Linked DNA regions of Notamacropus eugenii. The protein of the gene in region 4 purifies or fractionates together with the protein of the main gene of each other region. This does not show direct contact. Links are inferred from orthologs where the notes say so. Each region holds a gene or a part of one and is shown on either strand. Other genes may lie near its edges. The genes, in order: ING2, ARID4A, SAP30L and SINHCAF.

Region 1 (7,512 bases), on a different chromosome or scaffold from region 4:
ATTTATATAGCAACTAGTATGTGCCAGGAACTGTGCTAAGCACTTTACAACCATCTCATTTGATCCTCACAACAATCCTGAGAAGTAGGTGCTATATATAATCATCCCCACTTTACAGACAAGGAAACTGAAGGAAAGGTCAAATGATTAAGTCCCACTGCTAGGAAGTGTCCGGGGCCACATTTGAATTCAGGTCTTCCTGACTCCTAGCTTGGCTCTGCACAGCACCACTAGCTCTCACAATAACCTTGTCAGGTGGGACTTAAATCTGGATCCCAGCTCTGCTTACAACCTGTGGTCTTGGACAAATCACATCTTCTCTATGCCTAAGTTTTCTCATCTGTCAATCTGTCACATGAAGGTGTTAGACTAGATTTCCTCTGAGATATCTATTTCATATCCATACAATAAAATTATTATGGCCATTTTACATATGTGAAAACTGGCGCTGAGTTAAACTGACCTGGTCAGGGTTATGTGACTATCACTGCCCAATTCAACTGGTGTTTGTCTTCTGACATCAAACTCGGTACCCTTTCCCTTACACTGCACAGAGTATGAGAAGGCCATAAAAGTAGGATACCTGCTTGTAAGGGAGTTAGAACTTCATTTGTTGGGAAATGGAAGGCCTCCCTGTGGAGGGAAGCCTTGAATCCACTTGATGACCCACCAGCTGGACTTACAGCGACTGCACAACCCCGGAGTGCATGCTCTAGGGTGGTAGCAATGGGACCAAGGGCAAAATGGAGAGAAACCGTGGAGGTGAAAATCAAAAAGACTGATTTGGATTTGAGTCATTTGGGGGTTTTTTGGTAGGAGGCTAAGCTAAACTTGGCTGAGTCTGAGTTATGGACTGAACATTCATGTAGAGGAGAAAATGAATCTTGGTGGAAAGAGAGCCCTGAAGATCAGGAGCCCTCAGCTCTAGTAGGGACCTCGCTCTTCCATGAATTAGCTGCATCCCACTGGGACGAGCCTTAGTTTCCTCATTTACAAAATGAAGGAATTAAGTTCTTTAAGGCCCTTTGCACTTCTAACATCCTGTTTTAGATGTTAACTGTCGAAAATGAAGAAAAACTCAAGCCAGAAAACAGAGAAAGGCAGGCAATATTATCGTAGTTGATCTCTGCAGGATTTTATCCTCCTGACAACGCTGGGAGTTCGGGGGCATTAAGACTCTCATTTTGTCCAGTGCCCCCCCTCCCCCCCAGTAAACTTCCGAAGTCGAATGCTCTAACCCAGGTCGGAAGCCGTCTACATAAAAGTGAACGGGCCACATCAATCAATGACCCTTGAAGGAGGATGGAAATCAGGTGGGCGAGACCTCGGAGGGGGTTCATGTCAAACGCTTTCCAGAAGTTCAAAGGGCATAGACTTCAAAATGACCAGTTTCGGTGGAACGGTGGGGCCGAGGGCAGATCGCAAAGGGTCAAATCCCCCCGGCTCCAAGTAGGGTGGGCTCCTGCTGCCCCTCACATGGTCTGACGGACTTCGAGGACTAGGAAAAGTTTCTCCCTAGGCAGCCTCGGGAAGCTGGCATCCCTGCCGCGGGCAGAGAACGGAGGGCTGGGGGCGGGAGCATCTTCCAACAAGGGCTGGAACCTCCCGACGTTCCGGGGAGGCCAGATCTGCGGGGGCCCGAGGCCCGGCCGGCCGACCCTCCCAGTCCTGACCCCCGGGCCGGCCCGCTCCACTCGGAGCGCAGCCCCAGCTGGGCCGGACCGGGCAGGAGGGGGCGGGGCCGCGATGACAGGGGGCTCCGGCACCCCTCCCCCCGCCCCCGCCGAGGCAGCGCCCTGGGCAGTAACGAATGCCTTTCGGGGCAGGGGCCGAGGCGGCGCTCGGAGCCTCCGGCCCGAACCCCCGGACTGGCCCCGACCCCGCTCCGGAGCCCCATTAGCCAGGCCCCCCCTCCCTCCCCGGAGGGGCGGCCCACCCCGGAAGTGACGCAGGCGCCCCGGGCCCCACGCGCCAGCTGCGGGAAGCGTCTCCTCCGAGCCGGGGCAGCCGCGGGGCGGGAGTCGGGCAGATCTGCGGCCCGCGTCCCCGGGGCTCCCCGCGGCCCACTCACCCCTCGAGTCCCCGGCGCTACGCTGGGAGGCACCGCCCACTCCAGGGCAGAGACCCGACCCCCCCCCCCGGCCCCTCCCTCCTTTAACTGTTTAGCGGAAGGAGTGGAGCCGAGGCGGAGCAGCCGTCCCCGGGCCCTGCCGGCCCGCCTCCCCGGGGGGGGCCCGGGCCAGGGAGACCTCCGCACCGGGGCAGGGGAAGGAGAGGGAGGGGCCTTCCCGGGGCCCGCCCCCGCTGCCCTCTCCCCCGGCACGTTCCACCGAATCGGCCTTTGAGGGGTGGGGGGCGCGGGGCCGAGCTGTCCTCCCCCGGAGCTCCTCCTCCTCCCCACCCGGGGCAGAGCCGGAGGAGCGATCCCCGCTAATAAAATGGCTGATTCCGTGCCCGAAGCAGCCCGGCTGCCGCGCGCCCGGCCTGCCGCCCCACTCACCCTGGTACTTGGTGTCGATCTCTCGCAGCACGGACACGTTCCGCTGCATGTCCAGGGGCAGCGACTCCACGCACTCGAGGTAGTCCTGCACGTAGCCGGACAGCAGCCGGCCCCGCTCCCCGGCCAGGAGCCCGGCCGCCGGGCACAGCTGCTGCTGCTGCTGCTGGCCCAACATCCTGCCGCCGCCGCCGCCGCCTCCGCATCCAGCGGCCACACATGCACCGCCCGGGCCCCTCGCGGGGGCGCAGCCGACCGCCTCCCCCGGGGGGGACCCTCACATACCCCGCCGGGGGCACACGTCCTGGGGCGGAGCGAGATCAGCGGCCCCCCTCAGCGCCCGGGCGGCGGGGCTCCCCGGCCGTGCCGCCGCCGCGGGGACTCGGGGCTCGGGCGTCCCGGACGGCTGCCGGGGCTCCGCGTCCCCCTCGCGCCCGCAATCTGCTCCCGCTTCCCTTCGCCGCCGAGCGCCCGCTGACCGTCCCCCTTCTCGTCCCCCACTTTTCCCAAGTACCAGTGTGAGTGTCGAGGTGCGAGTGTGTGAGAGTGTGTGTATGTATGTGTGTGTGGGTCTCTCCGGCCCCCCCTCCCCTCCGACTGCAGATGCCTCTGCGCTTGCGCAGGGCTCAGCCCTTATAAGGCTCGGTGCCCGCCCCTCCCGCCCGACAGAAGGGTTCGCATTCTCCCGCCTTCCTCCGGCCGCCCCGGTGATTGGTCAGTCATCTCGCGGCTGGGGGAGGTGAAAGTAGGAGGGAAGGAGGAAGAGGAGGGGAAGAGGACAAACGGCAGGCTCTGCCCCGCCCCCTCTTAAAGGAGAAGCGCTGTCACCCCGCCCCTTTGCTCAGTCTAGGGTGGCGAGCCGGCTAGCCGGTGGAAGTGCTGTTGTCCCGCCTCGCTGCCCCTTGCCCTCCTTCCGCCCGAACCGTCTGGAGTCCGGCCCGACTCCGGCTGCACCCCGCTGACGAACGAGCTCCCCTCTGGGAGATCCAGAGCGGCTCCCCCCAGGCGTAAGATGGAGCAGTTGGCGGCCCCTTTTTCCCTTCAATATGGAGCGAGGCCGGAGGAGACTGCAGTTCCCAGAGTGCAGCGAGGCCCCGGGGCTCCCGGCATGCCGCGCGTCCAGGCTTGGCTCGGCCCCGAGCCCCGCAGGCCCCGCCCCGCAGGCCCCGCCCCACAGGCTCCCTGCTCCGGGGCTCCTTGAGCACGTGGGCGCTGCTGGCTTGGGAGGTAGGCGCCCTCTCCCCCATCCCTGGGTTCTCTGGGCTTTTTTGGGGGGGTATTCTCGCGGTCTCTCCTGGCGTGGACTAGTCGGGGCCCGTGGGCCCCTCCGCTCCTTCCAGGCCCGGCTCGCCGGCCTGGCCTCCGGGGTCTAGACGGGGATGGTAACCTGGAGCTTTTTCCCAGGCCGGCCCTCGGCTCCCTCCCTCCCTTTCCCCCCCCTGCCCCTCCCCCAGCGATGCCAGCGGCTGGAACCGGGGCCTGCGGTCTGCGTAGCTCTCCATCCGTATCCCCCATTCTCCTGCTGTCGCGTCCAGGGGCCCCCAGGTGTCCCCGAGAAGCCGCGCACCCAGGAAGCCCTTGTAGGAGCTTTGGGGGCGCTCGGTGCTGAGAGGGGCGACTCCCCCGGGGGCGGGCCCCGATGCCCAGGATGACCCGGCTTCGCGGCTTCCCCAGATGTTGGCCACATTTCTGCCTGTGGGCTTTGCCTTGGAAACTCAAAGCTGCGCTTGTGGGTTCTGTTGGGTCCCGCGAGGCAGACTACCCCGCGACGTTCAGAGAGCCGCTCGGGGTCCAGCATGCGACGTGTGCGGAACGTGGAGGCCAAATAAACCGTGGCCCAGCCGCGGGTGGGGTGGCATCCTTTGGGCCGCCCGGGTTGTTAGCAGGGTCCTGTGATGTGCAGACGCAGCATCTCTGCGCCTGTGCTTCGTGCCTGCCACACTCCGCTTTGTCTTGTATTTAGAATAATAGTGATAACAGCCCAGCGGAGCCTGGGCTTTGAAGGGTTATGAAGCGCCCTACATGCGTTAGCCCCTTTCACCTTCGCTACAACGCTGGGCCCCATTTCCTTTTCTCTCTCCCCCTCCCCTCCTTTCTCGTAACCAGCTGAAACTGAAGCTGAGAGGGCTTGAAAGGCCGGCCCCGGCTCCCCCAAGGGATCTCTGAGGCCGGCCTGAACCCCGAGCCCTGTGCTGCCCGCCGCCTCGCCTTCCTCTGTGGCTAGTAAAGAGAACAGTTACCGAGAACGTCCGTGGGTGAGACACTTGGGTGGCAGAGTAGCCACCAAACAGTTGCTTCATGTAGGGAGTTTCCTTTGTAGGAGGAAGCTGGTTGTAGTAGACTGAGCACCAGACTTGGTTTTTGGAAGACCTAGGGTGAATCCTGTCTCAGACATTTTAATGCCGCACACAGCAAATTCACTTATGTTTCCTTATCTGTAAAATGGAAATAATAATAGTATCTCCCTGACAAGCGTTGTGGAAGGTCAGATGAAATAATTTGTATGGCATTTTTAAACTTTAAAGCTATCTGGAATGTCAACTACTTCTGCTGGGAGATAACAATATGGAGAGGCTTAAGTGAATGCAGTATAATGTTAGGAGAAAGGAATCAAAGTGGTTTTCCCTACAAACCAGAGGTTTTTTTTAAAAAAATATTGATAACTGCATTTCAATATAATTGGTTTCTTTGTAATCCTGTATCTTTTGTGCATTTAAAAACATTTTTTGGAGGGTCCTTGGGCTCTCCTAGACTACCCGAGGGGACAGTGACACAAAAAAACTGAACAACCCATTTTAGAAAGTGGCTTGAGAGCAGAACCTTGACGGAAGTTAAGGATTCCTGGAGAGGCAAAGAGTGCTTTGGGGATTGAAGCAGGAGATGAAATGTTCAATTCAGAGACCAGAAAATATGGTCTTTGGACTAGATGTAAAGTCTATGGAAGAAAGCAGTGTGATGTCTCAAAGGCACCTCAGAGCCAGGTTGGGCAGCTCTGTAAGTGCTAAGCTGAGGAATTTTCACATTTTTAAGTAAGCATGTAAGATGATCTTTTTCTGCTCTTAAATTTGGCACAGTGCCTTACAGGTAGGTATATGATAGATGCTTAATAAATGTTGGTTTACTTGAATTGGACTAATTACTTAATAACTGAGGTTCTGTGTAAAATGAGGGTGTGAGTCAATCAGTAAACACTTATTAAGTGACTGCTACCAGCTAGGCATTATGCTCATCGTGAGGGATGCCAGAGGACTTGAAGGAGCTCACAGTCGAATGGTTGTGGCCTTCCAGCTAAGACATTTTAGTATGGTGCCCTGAGGAGGTGAAATGCTTTGTTAAGTGCAAACTTTGCATTTCTGGGTGCTGTGTTAGAAAACTTGAGATTTAAAGAATTGTCATTAGGTTAAATCAACCAACCAGGCCCCCTCAGCAGCCAGCAGACTAGCTGTGATCGCTAGTGAGTTTGAGTGTTACCACCTGTGTGTACATTTTGATTTGTCTCTTCTGTGCCTCATTGTTTTTAGGTATATTTCCTTATGGAGTTGATGAATCAGTATTTATAGAACACCTGTTACTTTTAAAGCACTGTGCTGGGCACTGGGCATACTCATTGTTAAATAACGCCACACCTCTTTGTGATGCTTGGGACTTGACAAAGTGCTGACCTCACAATGCCCTTGGAAGAAAGTGCAGATTTTCTTTCTCCATTGACTGCTGAGGAAACTTCACTTTGTACCACACAAGGTATCTGTAGTTTATGGTCTTTTGGGAGTCTAGTGCCACAGCTCTCCAGGCTCAGAAATTAGATTGTGTCTAGGTGAACCTCAGGGCAGAATGTCTGGAGCAGCAGTTCTCGAACTATTTGGTCTCTGGACTTCTTTACACTCTAAAAAATTATTGAGGACCCCAAGCTATGAGGCTTTTGTTTATGTAGGTTATAGCTATTGATATTTACCATAAATGTTTTTTAAAAATATAAATTTATTAATTTAAAAATAACAGTAACAAACTCATACCATGTTAATAAACTCAAATAACAGCCTGACCCAGGACCCAGCAAGGAGTCAGCCAGATGAATGACATGTGTGTGTAAGGCAGTTTGGAGGTGTTAATGTGTAATGTAAAAAGTCTGGAAAGACAGGCTGGAGCCGGAATAGGAAGGGCTTTCCATGGCAATCTCCTCTTGAGTTTATATTGTGGTACAATGGAAAGAGCACTGACTAGAGAGAATACCTGGCTTCATATCCCACCTCTGATGAGTGCTAGTGTATGACCTAAAGGGGATCCTGAATTTGATCCTCCAGGCAAGAGAAAGCCCCTGGAGAGTTTTGGTTAGGGGAATAATATGATAAGACCTAGGTTTTAGAAATCTCATTTTGGCAGGTTTGGAAAATATCCTGGGTGGCTCGGATAGATTAGTAGTGTTGTATGGTGAAAAAATGAGTGCAGGCCACCAGGGTTCTAGCCTTGTCTTTGCCACTAACTAGCTCTGTGACCCTAGACAAACCACCTCGCTGTTGTCCCTTGATTTCTTCAGCAAGATGAAGGATTGATGAGGCTCTCAAAATTTGAGAGTAGTAATCAGGATGCCGTGGAGTTGCCTGCCTGGGGAAGGGCATGTGCCATGGTCAGATCCACCCTGGAAGAGTATCATTTTGGTAGCTGAGGGGAGGATAGGTTGGAAGGGGGAAGAGATGGGAGACAAGGATACCAATTGGAAGCACTCTGCACTGCGCTATTTTTATTCTAGTCTTGGCAGGAGGCGATGCAGGTCTAAGCTAGGGGGTGCCAGTATCTGGAAACAAGGGGGTATTCTTTGAAAAGTGGGAAGTTGCCGATGGCTAAGCAACTTGCTGAAAGTTACAGAGGTGGTGAGGTGTAGCGAGGGGACTAAATCTCAGTGCTCTGTCCACCACTGCAGGAATCTACCTGCTTTGGTGATTTACTGACCGCCATTCGTTTGGGAGTGAGACATTTCTGACACCGTTAGTCAGAGTCTGTGGGCTACTCTGTATGTG
Region 2 (8,065 bases), on a different chromosome or scaffold from region 4:
CTGCCATTTCTTTTCTCCAGATATAGAGTCAAAAAACCTTTACCATATGCCAAAAGTTTAAGAATTCAGGAGAATATAGTACATTAATCTTAGGGTTATATTGTTAAAGACCTGAAATGGTCTATATAACTTTTTATTGTTTTAAAGCTTCAAAACACTTAAATCTTCTTTGATACCCTACCTCTAAGTCGAAACTATTAAATTACCACGATAAACATGTCAGTAGAGAGCTTTAACCAAATATTCATTGTAACAACAATAGACACAATGTAACACCTACAAATAAATAAGTATCCATTCAACCTATTTTAAAATTGAAAACATTATTTAATCAGTACTGTGTCAGAAGACTGAGGTTGAAATGGAAGTCACAACAGCTGATAACAGAGAAATAAAACTAATGCTCTTACATTTGAAGCACTAAGATTTTTTGCATTAATATTGCTGGTGTAAAAAAAGAAGCTTCCTTTGGAAATATCTAATTTCAACATGCTGAAGTGGCAAAAAAAAAAAATAGATACTTCATTTTACCATAAACTCTAATCCTCGTGTGAACATGCTTTTGTTGTCTCTTTTATACACAAATCTTATATGAAGCTTAGCACTTATTCACAGAGCTATTTATAGGCACATACATTTAAAAACAGTTGTAGTATACTGTAAGTAGGAAAATAATTTATTTTTCCAACTAGTTGTTTTAAACAACATTCAAACTTTCAAAGTGTCACTTTATTCATTTATTAAATTATATTTACCTTCCTAAAGTTTTAAACTCTGAAATATTTGGAGCATTTTTCAAAGCTTGCTGTCACCTTTCTTCCTGATAAAAATCACAGCAAGCATTAAGAATTTAGGAAAGTGAGGTTTAATAAATGAATAAGGCAATAAATCAATCATGAGTTTGATAAATTAACTAATTTTAAAAGCATATAAATTAATAAAATTTTAGAACTTCTTGTGGCAAAGAAGTATAATCAGGACTATTTTAAACTATCATTATAAAATGTCATTTCTTTCCTATCATCCTTTGAAATGTTCCTTGTTGGAATTATTTTGGAATAATCTTTTCCATTAAAAAGAGTTTAATAACATTTATCATATGGACTGAGCATTAAGCATTGTTTTAATTCAACCTCATGGATTTGTGTAATGCATGTTATTTCTAAAATCCTAGAAAAATTGAAATCTCTCTCCACTAGGCTCCCTCCATTCCATTCCAACTCCACATACATTCTTTGCTCTTTGGGGAAACGCACAAACAAAATCCCCCGAAACTCAAAGATAGGACAAAAGCTATTGTTTTGCAAAGGCCGCTGTCATTAGTGTTTAAAGAAAAATATTCGCCCAAAGAACAACAGCTCAGAGTCGGATCCCCTCGATAGAGTTAGAATTCTAGGGCCTTAGAAGAGGTCGAGGAGGACGGCACTTCATACACATCGATCGCTTCCGACACATTCAATAGATGCTATTTCCCCCCACACTCCTCAATGACTGACAAAGGAATAAAGTTTAAATATACATAAATATATGTATACATATGTATATAAATGCATATTTTTAAAATTCTCAGAACAAAAGTCCCAAAAGCGAAAGCTCAAGAGCAGGGGAGGAGCAGGGATGACCCAAAAGGGGCAGGCCGGTCCCTCTCCAGCGGGGAGGGCCACGCTTATCCCGTTTACCTTCATTTTGGGGGACGATCTAAGAGGTTCCAGCTCAAAGAGAAGTCTTCGGCAGGGCAGGATGCGTGAGGGAGGAAGAGAGAAGTGCAGTTAACCAACAAGAGCCCGAGAAGCCGTCCGAGTAAACAAGCCCCAGCGGGGAGGGGCACAGCCCTCGCTGTCCCAGGTCCGGGAGGAAAAGCAGAGGCCCAAGGAAGAGGGGGGGCGGGAGGAGCCCCCAAACCAGCTTTCATGCCGCCCCTCGGAGGACTTCCCTGCCTCCGCCCCTCTGCCCACTTCCACCCGGGCAAAGTGAAGTCGGGGCTTCCTCTGAGTGCCGCCGGTGCTGGCGGAGGGCGGCAGTTTCTGTTTCTCGGGCTCCTACGGGGGGCAGTCTCCGGGGCGGTCCGTGTCTCCCTCCGCTCGCCCTCTCCCGCCTCTGCCCCCCCCCCCCCCCGCCCGCTTCTCGGCCGCTTCCCCCCTCTCTCCCCTCCCCCCGGTGCCCGCGGTGGCGGCGGCAGCGGCGGCGGTGTGTCACGGCGCCATTGCTCTGCCTCCACCAGCTCTGCACCATGTCAGGCAGGAGAACAGGCTCCGGGTCCCAGAGGGGCAACAGCCGCCCGCCGCCCGAGAAAAAGAGAAAAGGGGAAAAGAGGAGGAGGAGGAGGAGGAGGAGGAGGAGGGGGTGGGGGAGTGAGGGGGTGGAGAAGAGGAAGGGAGGCAGCCGGGACAGGGTGTGGGAGGGGAGGAGAACCGCACAGTGGCAGCCACTGCCTCCTCCCTCCACCCGCCTCAACTTTTTTGTGGCGCTCCGAAAGGCGCCGGTCCTCCAAGCCCCCACCCCGACCCCTCTGGTCGAGCTCGCAAACCCACTCGAGGGAGAAGCGCCGCAGAGTTGGGACCCCTCTCCCGGGAGCAGCCCCGCTCCTCACTCCGCCGGAGCAAACTTAGCGGGGCGGCCACCCCCACAGCCATTTTACTCCGGGAACCGGAGAAGGGGTGGGAGGAGGGAGGAAAAAAAGAAAATCGGCAGCAGCGGTTCCCCCTGCTGAGGCTTCTCCTCTGCCGCCCCCACCCCCACCTCCAAACCTCTAAGTGCACCGGGACTCCCGGGCAGCAGCACCAGCTGCTACTGCCGCTTCGCCCATTCAATAGCCCCCGCTCCTCTTCTCCCTACCTACCAACTGCGGCTTAAGTACGCGCTGTCAGCTCTCGATCCCCCCAGGCACACTGACCCTAGCGGGCCCCCGTCCGGGCAGCACCACTCCTGGCCGCCGCGGCAGTTCCTGCGCCCAGTCCCCCGCTCGCCCCGATTTACTGCCACAATCCACCAAATAACAAGCTGTTGAGCAGACTCGCTCCTACACGAACTCCTATTGGCCCCTCATGACGATGGAGCACCCTTCCGCGCTCCTCATTGGAGCTCGCTACCCGCCGCCCCGATTGGATATAACGCCTTGAGTGCACCGATTGGTAAGAAAAGCAGCAGGTAGGAAATATCGTACTTATGATTGGTTAGCCGAAGAGTCAAACATTATTGGAGGAGTTGGGAATTGAGTCAGTAGATCCTGACAAATGATTGGTGATGATGACTCCGGATGTGCTTGAGTGATCACTGATTGGTGAACTCGGGGGTCAGGAAGAGCGACCCAGAGCGGGGATTGGCAGTGGGTGTCCCATGGAAACGGAACTCATAGCTGCGGAGAGGGGCTTGCACCGGGGGCGGGGCAGGGACTATACAAGGCGCCTGCGCTAGATCCTGTTCTCGGCGCCATTTTGTCTCGGCAGCAGTGGCTGTGGCTCTTTCCCATTTTAAGCTTGTCGAGGAGGGGAGCTGAGACTTTACCCGGTTGACTCGTTCTCATGGACTAGACCTTCACCTTCCATCCCGGGTGAGAGCACAGTGAGTGACTGAATAAATTTGGGATCCATCCACAAAGGTCAACTGAAGGCTGCGGTTAACTGACGGGGGAGGGTGTGTGTGGGGGGGGGGTTGAGGGGATGGCGCAGCAATAGCGGCACTAAGACCGGAAGTGAGGGGGCCTCGCGGCGGCCGCGGCAGAGTAAGTTCCTCACTGGGGGGACGAATGGGGGTGGGGGGAGTATTGAGGCCTTCTCTCCCGCCGGAGAAGAGGGGGTGGAGTTTGCTACCTCTTCGTAGAGCTGGATCTTCCCCTTTTTCTCCTATATGGGTAAAGAAGGTGTGTGCTCGACCCTGGGGCTCCACACCCCTCACCCATCTCTGTGCTTTGCCTTCCCTGATTCTCGTGCAGAGGGGCCGAGGTTTGACTTCTCTAAACTTGAAAGGAGTTATTCTTGCCAGGTGCCCCCTGCCTAAGAAAAGGGCGTTTCCACCCTAGCTTCGAAGCTGGGAAATCCCTGGTTCTCAAGATTCAGGAGTTCTCCTTCCCAGTTTGCCCTGATAGTTGTTCGCCTAAGGTCTTGCTGTGTCGAACTAGAATTCTCTTTTTAAGTGGAGATTGTATTTGACAGGAATGTAGTATGTCCAACAGTCCTCCAGTAATCATTCACCAAGAGGTACGGTGACCATTGATTGATTCGGCAGTTATGTAATGGACCTTTTAAATGAAAGTATTTTAAATCACTTTTAAATCTTAAGTAATGATGAGTCAGAGATTGGGTTGGAGAGGAGCACAGCAACTGGATTTTAAATTTTATTTAGAAAAAACTTGTTTGAACTAGGTAAAGTGTGTGTTGTTCCTTAATTGAGTAGCTTTTTAATGTAAAGAGACTGGCATATGCTAAACTGTATTAACTAAAATTAGAAAAGCTTTGGGTTCTAAGGAATTCACATTATTGTTTATTCTCACAACATCTCTAGTTGACTTTAAACTATTTTAGAGTCAGATTTAGTGAGGTGTAAGTGCTTTGATATAAGTGCTTTTAAAAAATTTCTCTCAATTATTTTGCAGTTTGGCTCTTAAAGATCTGTAGATTGGGTGAATTTGAGAAAGTCATTCAACGTTGTTTCGGAGGTGAGTCCTTATATAATTCTGAAAATATTGAGAATGAGGGGAGGAGGTGGCGAAAACACCTAGGAAATGAATTTTCATGCCTAGTCAGAAGTCTTTTGAGGTAGATTGTGATGTATTGTTGAAAGAAGGGGAAGGATGGGTGTTGTGCTTTTATTTAATAGGCAAAGATGAGGTTGTTTTGGGGTATAGAGAATTAATTGGATGCAGAAGGTATAGCAAAAATAAGCCTAAAATGAGCTTCAAGTAGGCTGGTTTGACTAAGACTTTGTTTAGTGGAAGTGAAACTGGAAAGGTAGGATAGAAACCAGATAATAGAGAACCTTTGAATTTCAGTTCAAAACTTTAAACAAAGTGTTAAAAGTGTTTTAAAGTACCATTCCCAAGATGGCACTTCAGGAAAGATTAATCCATTGACATCTAGAAGGATGCTTAAGAGGTGTTGGAGTCTGGCAACTGTATGACAAATTAGGAAACTATTGCAGTACTCTAGACATAAGACATGGATCAAGTAATGACAAGGGGATCTGGGAGAGAGATATTTGAAGGAAGAACAGGCAGGCTGCAACAAACAACAGATTTTGAGTCTTGGTGCTTTGGGGAAATGATAATTCTCTTTACTGTTCAGCTTTCATTTTGGACTTTACATGAGTTTTATAGTATGTGATCTTTTAGTATAAATGAAATCCTTTTTAATATGTCTTCTAAGGAATTTTTTCCAGTGAAAGCAAAATTGTAATCACAGGAGCAGAAATGTTTTATTTCTTTTCAACTATTTGTAGCTGTTTTCTTTGCATAGCTTCTTTGCATTGTAAATTATTAATGCAAATGATTAATATCCATAATCTTCTCAGCTTTTGATATCCTTTCTTTTTGTTGTACCTTCCCTCCTGGAACCCTGTGTCCCAGCCAGCGAATGTTGAGAATTAGCAAACTATTAATATTAGCTTGAGGAAAACATGATTAGGGAACTACAACTGCAACCTTCTATCTCCCCTATCTTCCCTTCATGTTCATTCATTTAACAGCTGTTAACTGTGCTCCCTATGTACAGTGTGCTGGGTACTAAGTTGATTATAAGATTTGATCACATAAATGTCTTTTAACTTTTCTCATGAAGCAGAAATTTATATTGTAACACACTGAAGCTCCATTTTTGCCTGTGGTTCCAAAAACATATATTTTAAAAATATTCCTGTCAGTCACATTGCTTGTATTATGTAGTACTTACCATCAGGAAACCCTTCTACGTCAGTTATACTTTTATTAAGTTGTAGTCTTGCCCACTAAAATCAGTTGTGATGTCATAAGTGGTATTGAAATTTTTAGCATTAGAATTTAGCAAAGAAGTCTTAAATCCGTTTTTTTTTAAATAGTGGTATAAAATATTGTTGTCATTTCCATGGTGTAGTGATCTTAGAGATGACTGAATTCTAGTGTTATCTTTGATACTTTCTAGCTGTTTGATCCTACTCAAGCACTTAAGTGCCTACCAAGTTGTCAGACACTGCTAGATGTTGGGAAAATAAATTATTTAATCTCTCTGAAGCTCTGTTTCTTGATAAGTAAAATGGGCATAATTATGACTCATGGTGTTTTTGTGAGGAAAGTATTTTGTAATTCTTAAAGTGTTCCATACATAGGAATTAGGTTCTGCATAGATAGCTATATAGCATGTCATGGGATATAATAAATTAGATATGTCCGCAGACAGAAGATCGTAGACTTCAATCTTTTGTGAATTTTTTTAGTAAAATGAGAATTTCTTTTCCCTCTATTAGGGGAATCTATTGATACTTGACATATTCTTGTTTAATTAGGATTAGGATTTACTGGTGGTACATGGTTTCCTTTTTTCACCTACCAATAGCCTCAACCACTTTTGTTGTCTTTATTTCTTCTCTCTTCAGAGTACACAGTGCAAGCTTTGAGCACTTGTGAAGTGACATTTGGGGGGCTATTTGGGAAAAACAAAAATAGCATTGATCAGTGAAGTTAAATTTTTCTTTTTATTTGTATAAATAAATTTTGAAAATCTTTTTTTGAGAAAACATGAATAATTATTAGGTTCTGCTTATGTTATACATCAGTTTCATTCTCTTTTGTTTAATCCTGAGCACTCACAAATGTAAAGACCTTGAGAATTACTGTTTTTCATGTGTAAATATCAGGTTTAGTTCTCAGTGATTCTGATTTCTAGTAGGATGTAGGGTTAGAGAATCTTTTGAAGAATATCATAGTGATTTCCTGATTAATCTTAAGTGCCTTTTTATATATAATTTTTTTTAAAGTTCCTGAAGAGTCTTGATGAAGCAGATTTTTAATTTGTATAAGGATACAAACATCCTCATTCTGATGATATAGTATATGATGTTATTCATAGACTCATGGGGTTAGGAATGGACAATATATCAGAGGGCATCTGAATCAGTCCCCTTATTTTAAAGGTGAAGACTAAGGAAGGCTGTGACTTGTGCAAGGTCATGCGGATGGTAAGCATCAGGGGTAGTATTTGAGCTGACTTCTGACCCCACAACCTCCACACACTATTAAGAGAGGTAGACTAAGTATTATGAATAAGTTGATTCTTGTAAAATGATTTTATGCTTCACTATGAGATAGACTGGACAGCATCACTATTTTTAATTCTTTGTCTTTCAGATTTATCCTGATATTTTGTAGGGAAAAAGTCATCAAAGGCTTTTAACCCTGTTTTCTTACTGTTTCTTGGAATGTTTCTGGTAGGTGATTTTTAGAATGATACAAAAAAAATAAGTTTCAGTTTTTAATATTGTATGGCAATGCTACTACATATAACAAAGTTAGGTAAGAAATGGTACTCTCTGAAATGTATAATGGTTTCAGTAAGCTTTTCCATGATGTTGAGAAGTAGATTTGACAGCTGTAGTGCAGCCAAAAAATTTCCCAATGAATCATTTATCTCTAAAGAAAATTAAATAATAGGTTAATTTCTAACCAGGTACAAGCTCCCGTATTGCTGTACTTTTCCCTTTTGAATTGCATAATCACTGGAATTCATAAATCTTAGTTTTCCTTTATGAACAAGCCTAAATAAAAATATGTTTCAGATTATGGAGTGAGTAGATAATATTTTTAGCAGATTGATAATTTTTGAGCATTTAAAATACTTTGATGTTTTAATATGCAAAGCTTTAGCCCAGGTATTCTAGATAATACAAAGAAAGTTTCTGTCCTTAAAGAGCCTGTGATACAGCTGGAAAGATGGGACATAAATGTGCTTTAAAATTCCTGTTATTTAACAGGAAAAAAATTTATTTAGGAAAACAATGGAAGCAGTATTGCAAGGTAGTGATTAATTGTCACATTTTATAATCACATAACATTAGAGGAGTCAGAAGAAATTGGGAGGAAAAGGATTTGGCAGGAAAAGCT
Region 3 (7,801 bases), on a different chromosome or scaffold from region 4:
AAGTCACATCCTCTACAGGCCTCAGTTTCATTATCTGTGAAAAATAAGGGTGCTGAACTAGATGGTTTCTAAGCTCTCTTTCAGTCCTAAAAATGCATTCTATATTCTAAGGTTTTTCTTACTCTGACATTCTATGATTCTATAAATACTGAGTCAGCATATACTTTTAACCATTAACAAGAACAAACAGATTTTCTGTAATTCAGGTGATTGAAATTTGGAAAGAGTATCCCCTTCCTCCATTTTCCCCCCTGTTTGCAAATCTGATTTTTAGCAAGACAGCTGTTACTTTTAACTGAAGTCCTGTTCATTCTTGAGAGGAAAATGGAATCTTTCTGAAATGACACCACCTTGAAAAGAGAATTGCTAGTGAATCTATTCCTAAAAAGTACCATTTGAGAAGTGAGGAGTTATTACTTTTAGCAATGCTATTGCAATTCATCATTCTCTTCCTCCTATCCCTAAGATGTATGGAAAAACCACCAAAAACAGTTTAAATTAACGAGGAGAGTTGTAATCTCAATCCAGCTGTAAAAGCATCCAGATGTCAATGAACCTATAAACTGTAGTAAATATAAGTTGTGATTTCAAAAGGGCACTCTTCCGGCAATTGCTAAACAGTTTTAGAAAGGATTTATAAAAGCCCAAACCTACCTGATAATGCAGAACTTTTCTTTTTTCGGCTTATCCTTTAGTTCTACATGAGAGGCAGTTTGATATAAAGCAGGGATGGGGAACCTGCAGCCTCGAGGCTACACATCCAACCCTGTCCGTGATTCAGTCAAAAGGACACACTTGAGGACCCAGAAGACCACATGGAGCCTCGAGGATGCAGGTTCCCCACCCCTGAATGGTGGAATGAGGACTGGACTTGCAGTGAGAGGGCCTGGGTTCGATTCTTGGCTCTTACTACCTGTGGGAAGAACTCATTCATCTCACTTAAGACTTCTTGAATTTTAAATAGACCCTGTCTAGTCTCCTTAACAAATCTGACTCCTTAATAGTGAAACTGCCACTAAACTTGACAACAGATGACACTCTAAAAAGCACTCATTATCAACCAATTAAGAACATCTCTAGAATTGTAAACTAGAACCTCCTGCAGACAAGTTTCCTACAATCAGGTAGGAGGCCCTAAGCGTGTTGTAATCAAATTTAAATTCCCATTCATTCAATTAACAAATATTTATAACGTTGCAAGATGTAGCACAGCGATGCAAAGAGCACTTGAAGGAGGAAATCAAGAGCCCCAGGTTTCTGTGCTGGTTCTACCTCTTCTGAGACATGTGGCCTCAGGCTCAGCACTTCTGCTCACAGGGCTTCAATTTGCTTATGTATAAAATGGGGTTAAAAATCAGCACACATTATCCACCTCATACCTCCGTGGACAGAAAGGGGCTTAGTAAACTAGAAAATGCTACAAATAAGTGAGGCGTTTTTTCGAAACTAGCTAGTATGTTTGTGGGGAAAAGACTGGGTGCAGGGGAAGATTTTTTTGTTTGTGGTTCAGATTTGCATGGGTACTCTAGGTGAGAAAACTCCCTCAATTCTACCAAAGCAGATTGGTAATTGTTCCGCAAATTTCAATTTTGTAGAGTTGTATGAACAGAGAGATTAAGGGACTTGCCCAGGGTCAAAGGTGACACTTGATGACTGGAGGCCAGTCTCTATCCTCAGAGAACATAAGCAGTCAAGATAATGGTTCGGAAAATGGGATTGGTTTATGAAGTTGGATGGGAAAATAATTAAATCTTTATTTTCACTAACTTCTATGTGCAATTTAGCATTTCCTTAAAATCATCATTCTGGGAAGAGGTCTATAAGGGGGCTGATGCACAAGAAAGGTTAAGGAAGGACTCAGTCTATGGAATAAAATACATGAGAGGTGCAAGCAAGGAACTATTAAGGCCTGAAAGTGGAAAAACAACTGTCCAGGAAGGCTCTCTCTCTCTCTCTCTTTTCCCACTCAACGTAAAAACCACTCTTCCTCAGGAAAACAAACAAAAACCAACCCGACCTCTGCCTTATTTCTAGCCTCATCTTTGTAAGCCCACTTCCACAAACAGCAGAAAGCACCCTTCCTCTGTAAGCAGCCTTACCCTTTGGGGGATAAACCATGAGCAACTTGACTATTCTTCAAGAAAAATTCAGGGCGTGTGTTTATGTACGTTCCCCAGGAGGGAAAAGTTAGAAGCTGAAGAAAAGGGACCCCACCACCTTCCTCCTAATATGCTGCAGCTGGAGGGGCTTAGAAATAATCGGTCCCAACCTCCCCCAGCTTACTGATGACTAAACACGGGGAGCAGGAGAGGAGGGATGACTTGCCCAAGGTCACCCCCTCAAATGAGCTTCACGAGAGCCTGCTGACCATAAGGGCAGGGTGAGAATGGGGAGCCCCCGGTGGTCCGTCCGGTGCTGCTTCCCAAACCCTGGGACTCTCACCCCGCACACAACAAAAGAAACCAAGCAACGGCTCTGCTGATCCCAAGAGCTGCCCCGGTCCGGGCTCCAGGCTCCATCTGCCCTCCAGCTCAGGGTCGCCGCCGGACCCCCTCCCGCCCCCCTCTCACCTGGGAGCGGGGATGGTGCTGGGGGTGGGGGTGGGGGGAGGCGGGGCTCGGAGGGAGCCCCGGGTTCTAGCTCGGGGGCGCGCGGGCTGTGTGACCTTGGGCCAGTCGCTTGCCCTCTCTGGGCCTCCGTTTCCTCCCCCGGCGGGGGCGGGGGCACTCACGCTCTTGTCGATGTCCAGCCGGAGTTTCTTCTGCGAGATGCTCTTCTGGATCCTCTTGCTGAAGGAGGCGTTGCCGGCAGGCCGGACGCAGCGCTCCCCGTCCTCGATCAGGCAGCAGCTCTGGCCGTAGCCGGGGGCGGGCGCGGGCGCGGCGGTGGGCGCGGGGGCCGGGGCCGGGGCTGGGGGCCCTTCCCGGCTGTCCTCCTCCGTGCTAAAGCCGTTCATGGCCCCGGCCCCGGCCCCGGGGACGCTCACGGGGAGCCCGAGCCCCTGCCCCCGGGACCCCGGCCCGGTCGCGGCCCCCCCTGCCGAGGCGGTCCCCTCGGCCCCGCCCGCGGGCCCGGCCTCCCGCTGCCTGAGCGCGCCGGGGCCCGGCTCGGCCTCGAACCCGCGGCCCCCGGAGCCCCGCGAGCCCCGCGGCGCCCACTGGGCTGCCCCGCTCTCCCCGAGGCGGCGGCCGCGGCGGCGGCGGAAGTCCCGCCCCCGAGTTCCCATTGGACTCTAGAAGACACGGGGCGTGGCCGGATCCCTCGGCGGCCTTGGTCATTGGGCGACGCGCCCGCCAGTCAGGAGAGGCCGGCTCCTTCCTGGACTCTGCGGGGACGGGTCCGAAGTAGAGAAAGTGCAAAGCCAGAGAGTTGGTGGCCGGGCTAGGAGACGCGGCCCGGGGCCAGCAGCTGCCTCAAGACGGGCGGGGGAGGACGGGGCCACCGAGGGGCAGGCGGGGTAGCGGGGACGGGCAGATCCAGAGGAGGTGGGGGGTCCCAGGGACAGGCGGGATGGACAGAGGCACAGATGGATGGACACAGAGGGACAGGCGGGATGGACAGGAGGACAAATGGGGGCGGACAAACGGAACGGACAAGGGTCCGACTGGAGGTGGACTGATGAACGCAGAGGGGCAAGTAGGATGGACAGTGGGACACAAGGACAGGGGGGATGGACAGAGGCACAGATGGGATGAGTAGACATAGACATAGAAGGACAAGTGGGGTAGACGGGGAGTATAAGGACAGAGGACAGGTGGCACCATGGAGGGGACAGAAGAGAGGGACAGTGGGACAGTCAGACGATGAGGGGCAGAGAGATGGACAACCATAGGGACAGATGGGGGAAAGGGACAGAAAGAAGGAAACAAAGGGTGGAGACACGTTAGGGGAATTTAGAAGGATGGGAAGGATGGACAACGTCACATTCAAGGATGGAGGAATAGACAGACACTGGGACAGAATGGATGGACAGAGGGATAGAGAGACCTAGAAGAGATGAGGACCCAGGAAGAGAAAGGATGGATGAAAGCGCAAATGAGTCCACAGAAGGAATGGGAAGAGAGAGAAGAGCTGGGGGGAGGGGATGGATGAACATGGATAGACAGTGGGACAGATGTAATGATGGGACAGAGTGACAAGAGTTAGAGCAGTAGACTCAAGCGAATATGGGGAGACACGTGCTGTAGGGAAAGGAGAGACATAAAAGGGTTGAAAGGTTATAGGGAAATAGAATCATGTGGAGGGACAAGGACTATTGTATGTATGGGAAGTGGTAGAAACAGGGGCACTGACTGGGTAGGTGAGAAAGACAAGGTAATAGCTCCAAACGAGAAAGGGTTGGACCAGAGACACTCTTACAAGCAGAAAGCTAAAGAAGATCCCAGGATCTTAGATTTAAGCAGGAGAGGACCTCAGAGGTCACCTAGCCAACAGATGAGAAAACTGAGGCCCAAGGAGATTAAGTGATTTGCCCAAGATCATATTGGTAGTTAAGTGTTTTGGATGAGGGGATGGTATTGGGGGAAGAATGAGACGAATTCAAGTCCTATCATTTTTTAAAGTAAATGTTAGAGATAAGATTCAAAACCAAGGAAATGAGTTAACGAAGACAGTGTCTGGTAGCTGAGGATCACAGAAGAGTAAAGGAGTGAGAGGAGATAGTCTCATGAAGAAGCAGAGAGAGTTCTGTCTCTCATACTTTATACCTATACTTCAAAAGAGGAATCATTAAAATTATTAGGAGTATTGATAGCTTGTATTTATAGCTTGCAAAATACTAACAACATTGTAAAGTAGGTATTAAATCAAACATTCAAGTGCCTACTATGTATCAGTGCTATGCTAAGACCAGAGATACAGAGACAGAAATGGATTTACATTCTATTAGGAAAACATGTACACATGTAAGTAAATATGAAACATAAAAAGTAATTTTGGGGGGAAATTGAAGGGTGGTCAGGAAAATAGGAGACCAGAGAGGCCTCATTTAGGAGGTACACTTGAGTTGAGCTTTGAAGGGAGCTACGGACTCAAGCTGTGGTGAGGAAGGAGGGCATCCCAGGCACAGGGGCTAGTTTATGCAAAGGCACCCAGTTGGGAGATGGCATGTGGGTAACATGGCTGTGTGAGGTCACAGAAGAGCCTAACTGTACCACTTTTGTTCCATTAATGAAGAGCTATTTGGAATAATGACAAGTCCAGAGAGGAATATCTTCTTTCATTCATCCCAGTATCACACAAAAAGACAAATTTCAGACATGGGTAGAAGAGTCCTGTTGGAGAAGTCAGTGCCAGTAAACATACTGGAAACCTGCTGCAGCATCCTGCCCTGGGGGACATAAAAACTGTGGCAGTGTCCAGACCAGGAAAGCCCCTAAGGGTTTAGGGAGGGGAAGGACCACACCTTGCTTAATTAGAGTTTACCTCTGAGGTCTGACTTAAGGTGTTAACGCCTGGTAATAACGCAAAAACTACTTATAAAAAAAAAAAATCCCAAAGGTGGTTCTCAAGGCAAAATGCCTTCCACACTCAGAGAAAGAAATATGGAAGTCACTCACAAAATGTAGCAGATCATGTTTGTGTATGGGTATGTGTTTGTGTATCATGTTCTGATTTGTTATACGATTTCTTTCATTTATTTTAGTCTGACTACATAGCGTGACTATAGTGAAAATATACTCAATAGGCAAGTATATGTAGAATCTATACAGAATTGTATGCAGTCGTGGGGAGGGAGGGGGGTAGTGGGGAGTAGGTGGGGGGGGATAAAATCTCAATTGTATGGCAGTGATTGTTAAACATTAAAAAATAAAAAAAAAAAAGATGTTAACGCCTGTTAGTGTTCTGAATGAAGACAAAACAAGAGAAAAGGAAATTGAGATCAAGTGTTGTTTACCTAATTAATCAATTTAAAAGTTTGGTATGGGTTGTGTCTGAATCCAAGGGAGCTGATGAGAAAAGAAGAGGGCCTAGGACAAAACTTTGGAGGAAATGACACCTATGGTTAGTGTATGTGACAGAGGACATTGAGAAGTCAGACAGGTGAAGAGATAACCATGTCACGAATACCTAGAGAGAAGAGAGTGATCAACAGTGTGAAAGCCTGCAGAGAAGTCAAGAAGGATTCTTAATAGACTTACTGAACTCCAGTGGCTCTCTGTGACCTCTAAGATCAAACATAAAAGCTGCTGGCATTTAAAGCACTTCATAACTTTGTGTTGTTTCAGTTACATGCAGCTTTTCATGACCCCATTTGGGGTTTTCTTGGCAAAGATATTGGAGTGATTTGCTATTTTCTTTTCCAGCTCATTATAGAGACGAGGAAACTGAGATAAACAGGATAATTACTTGCCCAGGGTCACACAGCTAGTAAGTGTCAGAGGCTAGATTTGAACTCAGGTCTTCCTGTCTTTTGATGGCTGAAACCCACCTAGTTATCTTAGGGTTTACTGACTAGATTTTTTTCTTAAAGACCATGCCTTAAACCCATTTCGCTCTGGTTCTTATTGATTGGCCAATCTTAGATCCCTGCCCAAGCACCACTTGATAGTTATCTTTTGCCCCCTCAAAGCTTAGAGTGAATGTAAATAGTAATTGTTTCTCTTTAGGCCAGCAACCCTGAGGGCTTTCCCCCCACAGTTTGATTTTTTTTTTAATTTAACGGGTCTTTCTTTGACTCACTTCTGAAATAGGCCTAATCACTAAATGTGTATTGCCTCATTCAAAGCGAGAACTCGGAAAGACCTCAGCTTAAAAAGGCCAAGGCGTCCCACTGCATCCTAGATCATGTCCACTTGCCCTGATCTCTATCTGGCCACTGGAATCAGATGGCTCTGGAGGAGAAAATGAGGCTGGGGACTTTGCACAGCCCTCCCTCAAATCCAATTCAGTTGTAAGCCATGTCATCCTCATCCTGATATGGTCCTCTTCAAGAACGAAGGACAAACTATACAACCCAGTACTCTATCCACTGCTCCACCTGGCTGCCCTTAAGTAGATGAGAGATACTCTTTGAAATTTAGTTTCCCGTCTTCTTCATTCCTATTGCAGGAAATAAATTCATTTCTATCATGATCAGTATGTTTTGCTTGGATAGTGAGCATATTTTCTTTTAAGGTTTTTTTGGATCTTCTGTGTACTGTTCTCTCTGTGTGTACTGTTCAACTTGCAGTTTCAGGTTCAAGTTTTTCTATTCCGTCAATTATTTTTGCTTTGCAGACCATAAATTTCTGTCCTCATAATTCTCATTTCCTTTTTAAAACACTCAGGAACAATGTATTGTGGTTCTTTATTATCCTCAAACTCCACAGGGTCTTCTGTTTTGTGAAGTGTTGTATAGTTTTCCATTTTCGTTCATAACTTTGCCTTTTCCTATCTTTCCAGTCTTCTTATCTTTTCCGGCAACATTATTGGCCTTTTTGCTCTTCCTCACATGTGAAACTCCATCTGTCCTCAAGGACCGCCCTACCTCTCCCTACACTCCTTATGCCAGGGTTTTCTCTCTGAAGATTACCTCCTATCTGTTGTGTGTGTGCGTGTGTATAATAATAATGATATATTAATATAATGTATATAATATATATTCATAGTTATTTACCTATTGTTTCTCTTATTAAAATGTGAGTTCTTTTGAAGGCAGGGACCATGTGTTTTGCCTTTCTTTGTATGTCTAGTGCTTAGCACAGTGCCTGCCATGCAATAAGTGCTTAAGAAATGCTTGTTGACTGACACAAAGTTCAAAAAAATCAGGAACTGAGGCCAGAGATACGAGTAAACAGAAGACACCAATCTTTGTAAAGAA
Region 4 (7,297 bases):
TGCTCCTGCTCGGGAAAAACTGTCTCCTGCAATTCAGCAGTTGTTACCTCGGGCCGGGAAGGTGTAGATTTCGATTTCCCTTTGCGCACGCGCTGTTCCCGGGACAGAATTCTCTTGAATCGAACTCATTTGCATGGGAGCTCTTGCGCACACGAGAGGGATGGAGGGTGGAAGCCCCAGCGGTCCCGCGCGCCCCCGTAGCCTCTATTGTCCTTTTAAGGGGAGACGCGCCGCGCGGGAAACATGGCGGGCAGGACCAAACGGAGAGGAGGGCGGGGGCTGCTTACTACAGCAGACACGTCACGTAAACAAACGCCCCCACGGGGGAAGAGGCGGAGCGGGCCGGGGACGGACAGCGCGCTGGCTGGAGTCGGGCTGCAGGCGTGAATGTCTTCCTCGTGAGATGGATGCAGGAAAAGAAGACTTTTTTTAAAACGTGCGGCTGAAGCTTCCTTTTTATTTTTATTTATTTTTATTTTATTTTTCCAGAAGCTTCACTTTGCCGGGCTTCCACACCTGCCATGAACTTGAGGTCCAGGGTGATGCGGAGGCGGGTCCGAACTTTTACGTGCTGACCCCCCCTTCGCTCGTGTTCCCAGCCGTTTCTTCTTGGCGGAGCAGATTTTTCGTCCTTCTGGTCTTTTTAGTGGGATATTTTAAAAAGCTTTCTCGTACTCACCCTCTTCTCCCCTCCCATGCCTTGCTTTGTTTCGTTTCGTTTCGTTTTCAGGCCAGTTTCTCCTGCTTGCTTTGGTTGAACGGCTTCTCCATTTCTGTGGCAACAGGGTGGCTGGGCTTCCCCCGGGACTTGGAGAGGCTTGGAGAGCCAGGCAGCCTGGAAGCCTGCAGCCAGAGCCTGCAGACGGACTGTGCACCCGTATTGTATTCATTAGAAATAGCACCAGCCTCGGGACTTGGAAAGTGTGTATGTGGAAGTATGTTGAAGTAGGAAGAGGCTAGTAGCAGTTTCCAGGGTGGGATATCAAAACTAATCGTCCCAACCGTTAGCAAAAATCGAATTTCATTTCAATTGGACGGTTACACAATGAGGAAACTAACATGTATCACTCTTCCAGCAACCTTATCTCATTTTGATGAGTAAGGCTGGAAAAGGAGAGAAACATTGTTGCGAGTTTCTAAATGAATCAGCGTAAACAACATAATTGAATCACTTATTGACAAATTTGATTGTTTACCATTTCAGTGTGATCATGTAGCTGAATGAATTAAGGTGTTATTAAAATCATCGTTGTCGTCATGGAAAAATACCTGGAGCATAATATTCCTGCTAAGGTGTATAAAACTTTTTTAAAAAATTAAAAAGAGGAAGGATGCCATTGGTTTGGATAAATGGACTTATGTGCTTAAAAAAAAAGGAAAATAATGGAATATAATTGATTATTGTTCCATAGGATGTATTTGAATATGTCGTCTAGCAGATGGAATTCATAATCTTCAACTGTGACCTTGTTTTTTTAATCTTTTGCTGACTATTTCAATATAATTTTTTTCATTTTTAATTCTATGTATTTTATGAATTTTAAAATATTCTGATAATGAATCCATAGGCTTTATCATACTGTCAAAGGTTTCATGACATAAAAAAGTTAAGAACCTTTGATCTAGCCAAACCTTATTTTACAGATTAAGAATGAGAGGCCTATAGAGGTTAAAAATGGAGTCCAAGATCATTCAGGTACTAAGTAGCAGAGGAAACATTTGAAACTGTGTCTTTTAACCTCACATCTGACTCTAAATCTGTCCTAGTCTGCCTGTCGTCTAAAAATAATAGAAAATCCTCTTAGTTTGAAAATGTAATTTAAAATGATGTTTGAGTGCAGAGAAAGAAGCACTAATTCAAGATAACCTTGGCTCTAGTCCTGACTCCACAGCCTACTGGTTGTGTGACCTTGGGAAAATCACTTAACTTTGCTAAACCTCATAGTTTCTAATTATAAATTGAGGATGATAATGTTATACTCAAAATCATAACTCACAAGCCTGAAAACAATTTATTTTCTTTTCGAGTAATTCAAGGACAGAATTCTAAGCAAAGTCATTTCATAAAATAATATAGTAAGGAAAGTAGCAAAGGAATACTTTTAATAAACCTGAAACACACTTTCCCAGAGATACCTCTAGGGTTCTTGAATTCAAAGCACAAACCTCTTCCATTCCTCCATATAGATTCCCCATCCTCTGGATGTAGATAAAGCCAAGCCCAGAGGACAAATTCATAATTTCCTCTACAGCTCATTCTTAGTTTTTTCATGGACAGATGAAGCCAAAAGAGAGTTGAAAAGGGATTTAAATCATACCCTTAATATTCCTGTTCAGGTATATCAGGTACTAGATGGCCCCTGAAATTCTTTCCAGCTCTAAAATTTTGTGATTCTATGTTTCTTACTTACATACCCTCCATGTGTGTCTCTGGCCACACAGGCTCCCTACATTCCCCTTGTTCTCTGTGTTCACTCTTCCTGCTGTTGGTATGGATATTTCTGGGAAAGTGTGTACCAGGTTTATTGGAAATTTTGTAAGATGAGAACAATAATAATAAAAACTATTTTTTTTTAGTGAGGCGCTTTTAAAAAGTCTTATTGTAACATTCTTCTCCACTGCTTCCTATGAGACATCAGCTCTGCTGATTTTTTGTGAAGATTAAATGATTGCTATTAGTTATGGTATAAATTGTGTTAAATATGTAAATTGATGAATATGAAAATTAAATTATCCTTTGCCATATCATAAAATTTAAAACTGGAAGGAATCTTAGAGGCTAGTCCCCCTAAAACTGAAAGTGAAAATATAAGAAACTTGGGCAAAATGATCACCTGTCTCACTTATCTTCATATGGTTTTATACTGTAAATGTATAATATATATATAACCAATATAGCCCTTTAAAATATGTGTCTAATGTAATTCTATTCAATAGAATAGTACTTTCTCATTCATTTGAACTTACTGACTTCTTTTCAGAAATTTTTAACTCATATCTATGATTTCTTACTATTATTTTTGATTTGGAGGGGCTTTAATATAAAGAACTGAGAGAACTAATTCTTATTTAACAAAAATAAATAATTAATAGGTTTTTGTCAGTATTTATGTTTCTAAGTGAATAATTTACTCTACTGGTAGCTAATATCAATGCATTAAAAACATTTTTTTTAGTCTAGAAATGCTAATTGTTAGATTTTTATTGGCCATTGTAACTGACTCTCAACTAATAGGAACAAGGCAGCCATACCAATACCCCTAAATTATGCTAATTTGCCAGGTTGTTGGGAAGGACTATTTCTTACCTACAGTGAGCTCTCTTGCAATCTGTGCATCACTTAAAACATCTCTGAACTTACTTAGCCAAGGTTCATATCTTGGAAGATTCTCAATAATAATACTCTGTTGTTTATGGCTCCAAACAAGGTTTTCCCTAGGAACATTTGATTTTGATCCAGTTTAGCTTTTCCTTAGGAGTCTTCATAGTTCTCTTGTGAAGAATGAGACTGACACAGCATCTGATCTTAAGGTGGCTTTATTATGAAGTCCTTCTCTTTGCCAGTACCAAGTGCATCTCCTCCAGGAGCTTGTCCACTACATCACAATCAAACTACTCTTCTTGTAGTTCCTTAATAATATTCTATCTCCTTTCTCTGTGCCTTTGCACAGCTTGTCCCAATCACTTGAATGTACTCGACTGCCCCCTAAAATCCCTTCTGTTTTTGTTCTTCAGTCACTCAGTCATTGTCCAACTCTTTGTGATCCCATAAGGAGTTTTCTTGGCAAAGATACTGAAGTGGTTTGCCATTTCCTTCTCCAGTGGGATTAAGCAAACAGAGGTTAAGGGATTTGCTGAGGATCACCCAACTAGTGTCTGAGGCTAGATTTGAACTCAGGTCTTCTGGACTCTAGGCCTAGCATTCTATCTACTTAGACACCCTGCTGTCTCAAAATCTCTCCTAGCTCCCTTCAAAGTTCAAGTCAAATACCACTGCAAATACCAACACAGATACATGAGCTCCAGCTCCAGGTTCCACCCTCAAAATATTTTGTATTTGTTGTTTGTACGTATACTGGGTATCCCAAAAGTCTTAGTACAGTTTGTTCCCTCTTTCTTTCTCTATACACACACACTATATATGTGTATATATATACACATACTTATGTGTACATATGGATATATGTATATTACATATGTATGTTTGCAAGGGACTCTTTTTCCTTGTAGGGAACAGAAAGAAATACCATTTCATTGTGATCAGTCAGTCAGTCTCTTGGCCTCAACTGCCTGCAAGAGAAGAAGAAAAAATGCCACTCTATTCTTCCCACCACTAGTTCCCTTGTCTGAGCTTCCTAAAGGTCAAACCCCTAGGGATATTGATAACTTGTCTGAACTCTTTCCTCAATGATTAATAAGCTCTGTCATCTCTATTCCCAAAAGATTATGAACTATCATTGTTTATTATTCAAACTCTGTTCCTGACTGCCCACTCCCTTATTCTCATCCCCTCAATACAACCCCTCTTTGCTCCCACCTCCCAATATCTAAAAGCTTCCCATCATTTCCACTGTGCTCTCTGGAATGCTTGCTCCATAAGTAATGAACTTTATTTTTTTCTTAAGTCTTTTCTTTTCCTATCCCTTCCATCTTCTGACTCTTACTAAGATTTGGTTCTTTCCTGACAACAGCCACTCTGGCCATCCTTTCCACCACAATCATTCTCTGACTCACCGGTTGAGGTAGAGGAATTGGAATACTACTTGCTTCACAATGCCACCTCTAAGCATTCAATCTATCATCAGCACTCAGTAACCACTCCTTTGAGTACTAGTGCTGGTAGCCGTTATCTACCAATCTTCAGGACACTCTTTCTTTAAGAGTTTGGTGATTTTTTTTCCTCCCTAATTTCTGCCCTCATACTTGAGGAATTCAATACACATTTTGATACTGCCTGAATACCCTAACTTCCCCACTGTTGTTCAATTTTGTCTGACTGTTTTTTAATAGTTGCAATCAATTTATTAAAAGAGATGATTGATTAGGCATTTCCAATGATCATTTCAACTTCACCTGGTTCAATGAAATGATCTGTTTAACAATTTCAGGACTGTTTAAATCAATAAGGCGTTTGTGGATTATTATCTGAAATCGATCCCAAGTCTTTGAACCTTCACTGCAAGGTTTTTCAGTTGTGATTCCAAGTGTCTTAATGGGCATTCAAACAGGTCCCTTCACTTTCATGTTCTTTTCTTTGGCTCCTCTAATTAGATCAACACACACTTTCTCTAGTGACTTCACATTGAAACTGGTGAGGATGATTTAGTTCCAGTGAATGACTACTCTGGGCTCCACCAGTGTCTTGCCCTTGTCTTTGAATGCCATGGCAGTAGAGGGGCTTCCTGATCCACTTGGAGTAAACAGGCAGGAAATGCCTGCTCCACACTGCTGCAGCAGTGGTACCTTCACCTGTGCATGACTCTTTATGGTCCTGTGAACTGTCCACTGAGTTTTCTTGGCAAAGATATTCGAGTGGATTAAGGCAAATCGACATTAAATGACTTGCCTAGGGTCTCATAGCTAGTGAGCATTTGAGACAGGATTTGAACTCTGGTGTTCCTAATTCCAAGCACAGTGCTCTCTATCCACCAAGCCTAGCTGCCTAAAAATATATAATAATGACTAACATTTATATAGTGCTTAAAAATTTGCAAAACATTTTACAAATACTATCTCATTTAATTGGCACGACAATTCTGGGAGGCAGGTGTTAGTATTTCCATTTTCCAGATGAGGAAACTGAGGCTGAGAGAGGTTAAATTCATTGGTCAACTAGCATTTATTAAGTGTCTGCTATATGCCAAGCACTGTACTAAATGCTAGCGATATGAAGAAAGGTAAGAGGCAATTCCTAGTCTCAGTCTAATCAGAAAGACAACATACAAACAATCAAGCCAAACATAGAATAAACTTGAAAAAAAAATTAACTGAAGGAAGGCACTGGCATCAAAGGAAGAAAGGCTTCTTGTAGAAGGTGAGATTTTATCCGATACTTGAAGGGAGCTAAGGAGGGCAAGAGATAGAAATAAGGAGGGAGAGAATTCCAGACACAGTAGACAGCCAGTAAGAAATGCACCAAGATGGGAGATGAAGCTTCTTGTTTGAGGAACAGCAAGGGTGTCACTGTCACTGGGTCATAAGAGTGCATGGGGCACTGGGGAAAAAGATATAAGAATACTAGAAAGGTTGGAGGAGGCCAGGTTATGAAGGGTTTTAAAAGCCAAACAGAGGATTTTATATTTGGTCCTAGAAGTGATGAGGAGCCATTGGAGTTGACTGAAGTTCCTAGTCGATGAATCACAGTCTTCCAGTCCTCGGGGAACATCTCCAGGTGGAACTGCTGTCTTTTTAAATTTTTGACATTCTGAACTTGATAAATATTGTCAAACACAAAGAACAGAAAAAGTAGCTTGCACATGAAACAACAAATATCCACCATGAACAGCTTGCTCCCTATTTTCTTTAAAATATGTAATAAATTCAGCCTGTTAGTTTTAAAGTTGTCTCAGTTGTCTGTTTCCTTCTAACTCCTTAAATTCTATGATTTTTTGAAATCTTCATTGAAGTGTTTATTCTTCTACCACTATCATTATCTACCGTCTCTCCCCAATTCTTCCTCTCTGAAAGTAAAAAACAAAACAGGCAAAGAAAACAAATATACACATTGGCCACGCTGAAAACCTACATCTAATTGTACAAATATAGTCAGTTAACCTTTATGTCAAGAAGTAAGAAGCATGTTTTATTTTCAGTCCTCTGGAGTTGCAATCAATTATGATTGCGTTGATCAGAGTTCTTAGATCTTTCAAAAATTTTAATTTTTCTTATTTTTAAATTATTTTTTAAAACAATGTATACATTGTTTTTTATAATCAACTGTATATGTTGCTCTTCCAATTCTGCTCAATTCATTCTGCATCAATTCATACAATCCTTCCCAGGTTTCTCCACATCTATTCCTAATGTCATTTCTGATGATGTAATAGTATTTCTTCCTTCCTGCTTTTAGAAAAGGTATTTACAAAGCTATTATTGTAAGAGCAGTCAGCACAAAACACCCCCTCCTTCCACCCCCAAAGTCTGTGACACACTCACAATTGAATACAGAGGAAGTACGGAGCCCAGGAAAATGTGGACTAAAGTTTAGAAAGCATAGTGGCAAAGGTTTGATAACTCACAGATCCTTGAAGTCCCTTTGCCAAAGTTCTGAAGATATTTCCCTTAGGTACACTGTAGT

Evidence for each region.
Region 1: the proteins of SINHCAF (region 4) and ING2 purify together in Homo sapiens (affinity purification with mass spectrometry; 3 studies listed by BioGRID and IntAct, counting the BioPlex papers as one, with this or other methods). This does not show direct contact. The link is inferred for Notamacropus eugenii from reciprocal best matches to the Homo sapiens genes SINHCAF and ING2.
Region 2: the proteins of SINHCAF (region 4) and ARID4A purify together in Homo sapiens (affinity purification with mass spectrometry; 3 studies listed by BioGRID and IntAct, counting the BioPlex papers as one, with this or other methods). This does not show direct contact. The link is inferred for Notamacropus eugenii from reciprocal best matches to the Homo sapiens genes SINHCAF and ARID4A.
Region 3: the proteins of SINHCAF (region 4) and SAP30L purify together in Homo sapiens (affinity purification with mass spectrometry; 3 studies listed by BioGRID and IntAct, counting the BioPlex papers as one, with this or other methods). This does not show direct contact. The link is inferred for Notamacropus eugenii from reciprocal best matches to the Homo sapiens genes SINHCAF and SAP30L.

What each region holds. Positions count from the first base shown.
Region 1 is NC_092878.1:101,933,886-101,941,397, reverse strand, and holds the start of ING2 (inhibitor of growth protein 2), read right to left. Parts: upstream 3,070-7,512; 5' UTR 2,676-3,069; coding exon 2,501-2,675; intron 1-2,500. UniProt on the Homo sapiens protein: Seems to be involved in p53/TP53 activation and p53/TP53-dependent apoptotic pathways, probably by enhancing acetylation of p53/TP53. Component of a mSin3A-like corepressor complex, which is probably involved in deacetylation of nucleosomal histones.
Region 2 is NC_092872.1:301,127,111-301,135,175, reverse strand, and holds the start of ARID4A (AT-rich interactive domain-containing protein 4A), read right to left. Parts: upstream 3,104-8,065; 5' UTR 2,840-3,103; intron 1,726-2,839; 5' UTR 1,686-1,725; coding exon 1,680-1,685; intron 1-1,679.
Region 3 is NC_092872.1:382,823,257-382,831,057, reverse strand, and holds the start of SAP30L (histone deacetylase complex subunit SAP30L), read right to left. Parts: upstream 3,040-7,801; 5' UTR 2,957-3,039; coding exon 2,732-2,956; intron 1-2,731.
Region 4 is NC_092874.1:215,685,703-215,692,999, reverse strand, and holds the start of SINHCAF (SIN3-HDAC complex-associated factor), read right to left. Parts: upstream 3,101-7,297; 5' UTR 1-3,100. UniProt on the Homo sapiens protein: Subunit of the Sin3 deacetylase complex (Sin3/HDAC), this subunit is important for the repression of genes encoding components of the TGF-beta signaling pathway.